2 linked regions of the Bombyx mori genome follow. The protein of the gene in region 1 purifies or fractionates together with the protein of each later gene. This does not show direct contact. Links are inferred from orthologs where the notes say so. Each region holds a gene or a part of one and is shown in the gene's direction. Other genes may lie near its edges. The genes, in order: Ef-1g and valine--tRNA ligase.

Region 1 (3,931 bases):
TCGAGTAAATAACAATGTTTTGCCACTTACCATTCTAAAGTTTTACTACACCACACTCAATCAGAGATAAATGTGCGTCTGACTGTTTGTAATCACAAACTGATTCCGATAAAATTAAATCAGAAGCAACAAAAATACCACAGCAGATTCACAGTTACCTACCATCGATGACCATCGATCTAAATTACGCACGGATTGTATTGTTGCCATGAATTGTATGAAGCTGCTCAAGGGAGGACCATTAAAATGAATTAGGTCAATATTTCATAGGTTCAATAATCAATCCAAAAAGTTCATTAGAAGTAATACTAATATATAAATTCATTTCCGTATGTTTTAATTTTATGGGTCTCGATATATATTTAGTCTATTGTAAATTCGTTAATAATAGTCAGGAGAACGTGAGTAGCGCCACCTACCTTGAGATATATTGTTTTGTACAATTGTATCAGCTACCTATAAGAAATAAGTTAAAACTAAATTTAGAGCAGAACTATCTACACAAATCTGTATTAGTTCCAAATTCAAAAGCTAGATTAGGCTAGACTCTTGAGCTTCAACTATTTTCTTCTGTTCTGCAAAAAACATTAGTAATAGTGGTAAAACAACTACGATTGCATTAAAAGAATCAGTAGCAGTGAAATGTAAAAGTTAATACACGGTTAATGTTTCAAAAAAATCATGAAATATTCAGTTCCAATAAAGTTACTAATACTTAAAGTGTATAAGCTCGTCCATGATAGTATTAGACAAATAGCGTTTTTAATCATTTAAATTGTGATGTGGCCATATTACGAGGTTTAACAGAAAAGTTAGCTAATACTTTATTCGATAAACTACTTTAGTCCACTTAAAAGAAGAACACAGCAACATAAATCATTCAATTCTCCTAGCAAAAACTAATTGCAGAAGTTGACTTTGTTCTATAAAATCATTCATTTAATTGCTCGCTTAGGAAGAAGCTAACCCACAAAATGAGCCACTGATCAGCATGGATGACATAAGACGTGCTGCTAGCATCACACAAATAAACTTCGCAGGTCAGACGATATTAAATTGTTGTCAAATATTAATTTGTGCCCAAGACATGGCCATAATAAATGTGTTTCAATCCTTCACGTCAGCTTGAAGACTTTTGAAAGATACAAAGACAGCCAGACACAGACATTCTCATTCAGCGTTTTGTTACAATGATAAAGAGCTACACAAGACTATATTCTTTAACATACGGTGTTTCTGATCGAGTGATGTATAGACTAGCTGTACGGACCGTGAGAGAGAATTAATAATATAACGTCCCGTGGTATTGGTAGTTTCATTAGCCCGAAAATAAGGACCTAAACTACAGTATGTACAGTCACTTGGAAATAGGCTTTTGGTTGCAAGGCATTTCCAATATTAGTCTAATTCTAATCTAATTAAAGAAAGAAAAAGGGATTTTTTTAATAAACTAAAAAATTGATTAACAGATAACCGTGTGTATGCAATTTTCACTTAATTTCTATTTCAGCTGTCACAGAATGTCAATGTCAAAGGGCAAAATCCTCCCTCGCCAATATTTCCTCGGCCCCCCTTCTCTTTCCGAAAACTCCAACCATGGCGGCCGGGGTAGGTGTAATTTACCTTGAAATATCTTGTTAATCCAGTCATTGATAGAAAACTTATTAATAAAACCCAATGATAATGAAAGTATTAATAATATTACGCATTTATTTTTTCAGGTACTTTACACTTATCCGGAAAACTTCCGCGCTTATAAAGCGTTGATCGCCGCACAATATTCCGGGACTGATGTGAAAGTAGCACCGAATTTCGTATTTGGCGAGACCAACAAGTCCGAAGACTTCTTGAAGAAGTTTCCTGCCGGAAAAGTGAGTTTAAACCGGCGTATTGTGCATAGTAATATTTCGGCATATGTTGAGTGTTGTGACGTGTAATATCGGTGTATATTTTAGGTGCCTGCATTCGAAAGTGCCGATGGAAAGGTGCTTCTAACTGAAAGCAATGCCATCGCTTACTACGGTGAGTTTTTTTATTTTCAAATACACCTACAAAACTAACTTAAATAAATCTAACCTAACTAACTAGAAGAATACCTAATAAACCAAAGTTAAAAAAAGATAAGGTTGTAAATACCTCTTGCGAAGTTATTTCAAATAAATTTAACTATATAATTCGTCGATGGTACAAGTATGAAAGCGTTTTTCTACTTAATCTGATTTAAAAACTCATAAAATCGACGAATCATGACTTTTCCTTGATGAAACAATACTCATAATTTCCGTTAAATATAATTATAGAGGACACTCACAAATCACTAATAATATTTAATTATTGCATAATATTTTATAATCCCAATCATACACCCTTTCACTTCAAGTAGTATCAGAAGTTAAAAGAAAAATACAACATTTAACTTGAATTAAAAAAGGAACTTTACAGTTGCCAATGAAAGTCTCCGCGGAGGAGATCTGGCTACCCAAGCCCGTGTCTGGCAGTGGGCATCATGGTCTGACAGCGAACTACTGCCTGCTTCCTGCGCTTGGGTCTTCCCTTACCTTGGTATCATGCAATTCAACAAACAGGTAATTGAAGAATTTGTGATATTAAAATATATATGTGTTAGTCTACTGATATAAGTGATTACATAAAAATATATGAATATTATCATTATTCAGAATTAAACTTTTTTTTTGCTTAGATATATGGCTCACGGCCCTACCTGATGTTAAGTGGTTATCGGACCCCATAGATATCTACAACGTAAATGCTGCCACCCACCTTGAGACATGAGTTGTAAGGTCTCACTCTTAACTGTACAACGGTTGCCCTGCCTTTCAAACCGAAACTCATTACTGCTTCAGGGCAGAAATAGGCAGGGTGGTGGTACCTACTCGTGCAGACTCACAAGACTTCCTACCATCAATAAAAATTTAGTAATATTAAACATAGGATCTTGTACGTTTTCTCTAATTTATTATATTGTCATGGTGCTTAATAAGCTACTCAATATTACAATTATAAGCCACAAACTACTGGCAACTGATATAAGGATTAAATAATTCCAGAATGTTGAACGTGCAAAGTCTGACCTACTGGCCGCCTTAAAAGTACTGGACGGACATCTTCTCACACGCACCTTCCTTGTTACCGAGAGAATCACACTTGCCGATGTCATTGTCTTCAGTACACTGCTGCATGCTTTCCAGGTGAGGATAAGGAAGTTATCCTATGAACTACTGAAAACTTTCTTTTAAGATTTGAATTGATTTTCTTCACCACTTGGAGTAAGCACAGTTAATAAAGTGATACTTCAGAGAATCATTAAACAATACATTACTAAATACATAAAAGTGTTTGTAAAGCAAATAGGAGAACAATAAAAAAGCATAAGACTAAAAAAAGCAAATTGTTATCGAAAATTAAATAGTACCTTAATAATAATAATGAATTTTTTTTTTATTGCTTAGATGGGTGGACGAGCTCACAGCCCACCTGGTGTTAAGTGGTTACTTGAGCGTATAGACAACGTAAATGCGACACCCACCTTGAGATATAAGTTCTAAGGTCTCAAGTATAGCTACACAACGGCTGCCCCACCCTTCAACCCAAAACACATTACTGCTTCACGGCAGAAATAGGCGCGGTGGTGTTACCTACCCGCGCGGACTCACATGGTCCTCCCACCAGTTTTTCAAGAAAGCAAGTCACAATCGATTGGGTTTGAATAGAATGCCATAAAAGCTATTTTACTTCAGCACGTGCTAGACCCGAGCGTCCGTTCGTCGCTGATAAACGTTCAGCGTTGGTTCCTGACCGTCGCCCACCAGCCGCAAGTGTCGGCCGTCGTCGGCTCGCTCACGCTCTGTGCGGCTCCTCCTACATACGACCCTAAAAAGTACCAGGAGTTAGCTGGTGCACAGAACAAGAA
Region 2 (3,831 bases), on another chromosome or scaffold:
AGACCGACGACTTAAAGGTACGCGACCGTCATAAAAGTATTTTTATTATTATCATTTTTTATTGCTTAGATCGGTGGACGAGCTCACAGCCCACCTGGTGTTAAGTGGTTACCGGAGCCCATAGACATCTACAACGTAAATGTGCCACCCACTCCGAGATCTAAGTTCTAAGGTTTTAGTATAGTTACAGTCAGTATTGTTCACACGTCTGCCATGCTGAGGATGTCGATAATTGAAATCATTGTATGGACCTCTATTTTGTCATTGGTATTGTTACGCGCTGGGGTTCGAGATAAATAAAAGTTCCACCAAAGTATAACTTAAAACTGTATTTAACACTTACACCACTTACAGAACACTTTAAAATTCTCAATTCACTTCTTCCGCTTCGCTTCAGGTGATCCGTTCACTGTTTCGCTTCGAGTAGATCGGATTACTAACTAACTGCGTGCAATCTCTGCAACGCTTTTATAGTCGATACGATATCCATAAAATTGTCGAGAACATTCCTCACAAGTCGAGTATTTGCGATGTGTGTTTCCGCTACCTGAAAATAGATGGCGTTGTACTTCTTGAGCGTTCTAGATGTTACTAGACCCTTTGATATTCGTTTCGGCTATTCGGCGATAGATGACGTTACTCTTACACACTGGACACAATGGTGGAGAAGCTCACGAATCTCCGGCCAGCCTTGTCCTCGCTGCTCTCACACGAATATTTGACAATGTCAAGCCCTGAGGTGCTCCGTACTCCTCAAAGCTGAAGCTGCGATCGGCAGTTAAGTTATGATGATGCAAAACAGCTGACACGCGGGGCCCAACGCCCCCAAACCAAACGCCTCCAAACAAACAACCAGGAGTTTTGGAAATACATAAATAAATTCACATTCGATTCGCATTCACGAAAATAGTATACAGAGTCATGCTTTATAGACCATTCGTGTTATTTTGATCAGCTCGATCTCAGGGTCACTGTCTCCCGCAGGCATTCTATCCTGGGACCCTGTTGGAAACCGGCCACGACATCTTGTTCTTCTGGGTGGCCAGGATGGTGTTCTTCGGACAACGTCTCATGGGGAAGCTGCCTTTCAAGTGAGCAAAACTGAAAAAATAGCTTTAAGAGTTGAAGACAAGTATCAGTTGAGTAGTCAGCTGAGGAATTGTTTGAGATGATTCCATCATTTCGTTTTTACCATCGCACCGCCCGCTACCGGAGTAGAGTTAATCCATACTACCTGGTGCCACTGCGTTTATCCACAGTGCGTTTCCAGAGATCTTTTTTGCCACGTACCGTCCGGCTTTGGAATGATCTCCCCTTCACGGTGTTTCCAGCGCTATGACGTGTCCTTCTTCAAACGAGGCTTGTGAAGAGTACTTAATGGTAGGCAGCGGCTTGGCTCTGCCCCTGGCATTGCTGAAGTCCATGGCGACGGTAACCACTCACCACCAGGTGGGCCATATTCTCGTCTGCCTATAAGGGCAAAAAAAAGCTAATGTATTTTTTTAAATCATGTGAATCATCATGTTTCTACCTTTAATGCTACCTTTAAACCATGTATCCACCACATAATCTTCGAACCACCAGAGAGGTATACCTCCACCCGATGGTCCGCGACGCTCACGGCCGGAAGATGTCCAAGTCCCTGGGAAACGTCATCGACCCGGTGGACGTGGTGCGAGGAGTCACCCTCGAGGAGTTGCACCGGCAATTGGAAGACTCTAACTTGGACCCGCGGGAAGTGGAGAAGGCGAAGCAAGGACAGCAGCAGGACTACCCCAACGGCATCCCGGAGTGTGGCACCGATGCGCTCAGGTACCATCAATTTGTTCCTTTCTTTTTTTCCCCGCTGACAGCCTTGAGAGGCTATTTCAGCTTCTCCTTGATATGTAGGTGAGCTCACGGAACTCAAACCGGGAGTGTTGCTAACACTGGCCCTAGCAAGAGCCGTGCTTCGCAGAATCTACCACCGGATCGGAAACGCGACCCACTGAGAAGATCCGGCGAGAAACTCTCAGTGGACTGTGTCTATGGGTTAATTCACTCATCGAGCCCTTCGTCGCATGCAACGGGTTGGACGAGGACGGTGACCGGTGTTTGAGGTACCTACAAGCACCGTTAATTGATCGGGAGGATCCGTAATGACGTGTTTAGGACGACGTCGACTGTTTACCATTCGGTTCACAGGATCGGGTATGTAATTTCCGGCGGCCACGATGAGAGGGTTCTCGTGTCGTGCCGCTTTATCGAAATAGCTAATAGTTATACGAAATACAATCAAACGTTGAGGGTACTTAAGACGAGAATCCCTTGGCAGGTTCGCTCTGTGCGCGATGACCCAGGGCCGCGACCTCAACCTGGACATCCAGCGCGTGCAGGGCTACCGGTTCTTCTGCAACAAACTCTGGAACGCGACCAAATTCGCCCTCATGTATTTCCCGAAGGACTCCACTTACGAAGTGAGTATGATCTTACAATTCCAACACTGTTCTTTTTAAATACAAATATTGATTTTAATATTATTAGTCAGGACTGTCCAAAATACATACCTTTCCGGACTTATTAAATTTACTACAAAAACCGCCGCAGGAAACTATATTTTCAAGAACAACATATTTTTCGGGAATTCCCCCAATAAAAGTAAAAGATTTTTTCACTTTTAAATGATGTCACGGGAATGAAATGTTAAAAGAATAAAGATAATATACTAAATATTGATTATACTTGGTTATTATTAGGAGACTGCTTCCGAAAACGCAGACAGACGATAGTACTAATGACACCTTTGATGATGGGAAGGAAATCGATACTGATTTAGAAAAAAATACATTTTTAAAAATAAATTGCTTTACTAATAAAAAAACCAGCAATGAAACACAAAATCAAAAACAGCTGATGTTCGGATCAACCAAACCCGCGGGCGCGGCGCTGATACCGCACTCCTCAAAATTTACAACCTTGTAGGTACAAAATTTGCAGGTGCCATAAAACTGACTATATGTAACTTATACTTGAACTTATATCTCAAGATGGGTTCTAAAAATTTTTTATGGCCCTTGTAGGTTTTTTTATTTATTGCTTAGATGAGTGGACGAGCTCACAGCCCACCTGGTGTTAAGTGGTTACTGGAGCCCATAGACATCCACAACGTAAATGCGCCACCCACCTTGAGATATAAGTTCTAAGGTCTCAAGTATAGTTACAGTTACAACGGCTGCCCCACCCTTCAAACCGAAATGCATTACTGCTTCACGGCAGAAATAGGCGGGGTGGTGGTACCCACCCGCGCGGACTCTCAAGAGGTCCTACCACCAGTAAACGTAGGTAGGTAGTAAACGTGTAGGTAGACGAGCATGCGGCCCACCTGATGGTGAGTGGTTACTGTCGCTCATGGACTTCAGCAATGCCAGGGGCGGAGCTAAGCCGCTGCCTACCGCTAAATTACCGAATTTACGTTGTAGATGTCTATGGGCTCCAGTAACCACTAAACACCAGGCGGGCCGGGAGTTCGTCCACCCATCTAAGCAATAAAAAAAAGACTGTTCGATATTTATTTAACAGTTAAATTAACCAACAGGTGCACGGCCCTAATCTACCCGCGGACTTGTCGCGCATGGACCGTTGGATGCTGTCCAAGCTCGCGCTCGCGGTCCAGAGAGTGAACGGCGGCTTCGCGGCCTACGAGTTCCCAGCGGCGACCACGCACTGCTACAACCTGTGGCTCTACGACCTGTGCGATGTCTACCTGGTGAGTCCCGGGTGAGGCTCGCGGGCCGATTTAGACATGTACATATTTTTTTTAGGATTCAAGAATTACTGGTGGCCCGGAGGTCT

What was found.
Region 2: the proteins of Ef-1g (region 1) and valine--tRNA ligase purify together in Homo sapiens (affinity purification with mass spectrometry; 6 studies listed by BioGRID and IntAct, counting the BioPlex papers as one, with this or other methods). This does not show direct contact. The link is inferred for Bombyx mori from reciprocal best matches to the Homo sapiens genes EEF1G and VARS1.

What each region holds. Positions count from the first base shown.
Region 1 is NC_085124.1:12,666,754-12,670,684, reverse strand, and holds the start of Ef-1g (elongation factor 1 gamma), read left to right. Parts: upstream 1-1,596; coding exon 1,597-1,608; intron 1,609-1,721; coding exon 1,722-1,871; intron 1,872-1,955; coding exon 1,956-2,022; intron 2,023-2,442; coding exon 2,443-2,585; intron 2,586-3,068; coding exon 3,069-3,209; intron 3,210-3,758; coding exon 3,759-3,931. Other genes in the region: Cnb (calcineurin B), read right to left, coding at 31-33. UniProt on the Homo sapiens protein: Probably plays a role in anchoring the complex to other cellular components.
Region 2 is NC_085114.1:14,506,978-14,510,808, reverse strand, and holds part of valine--tRNA ligase, read left to right. Parts: coding exon 1-17; intron 18-984; coding exon 985-1,091; intron 1,092-1,584; coding exon 1,585-1,812; intron 1,813-2,314; coding exon 2,315-2,456; intron 2,457-3,574; coding exon 3,575-3,745; intron 3,746-3,831. UniProt on the Homo sapiens protein: Catalyzes the attachment of valine to tRNA(Val).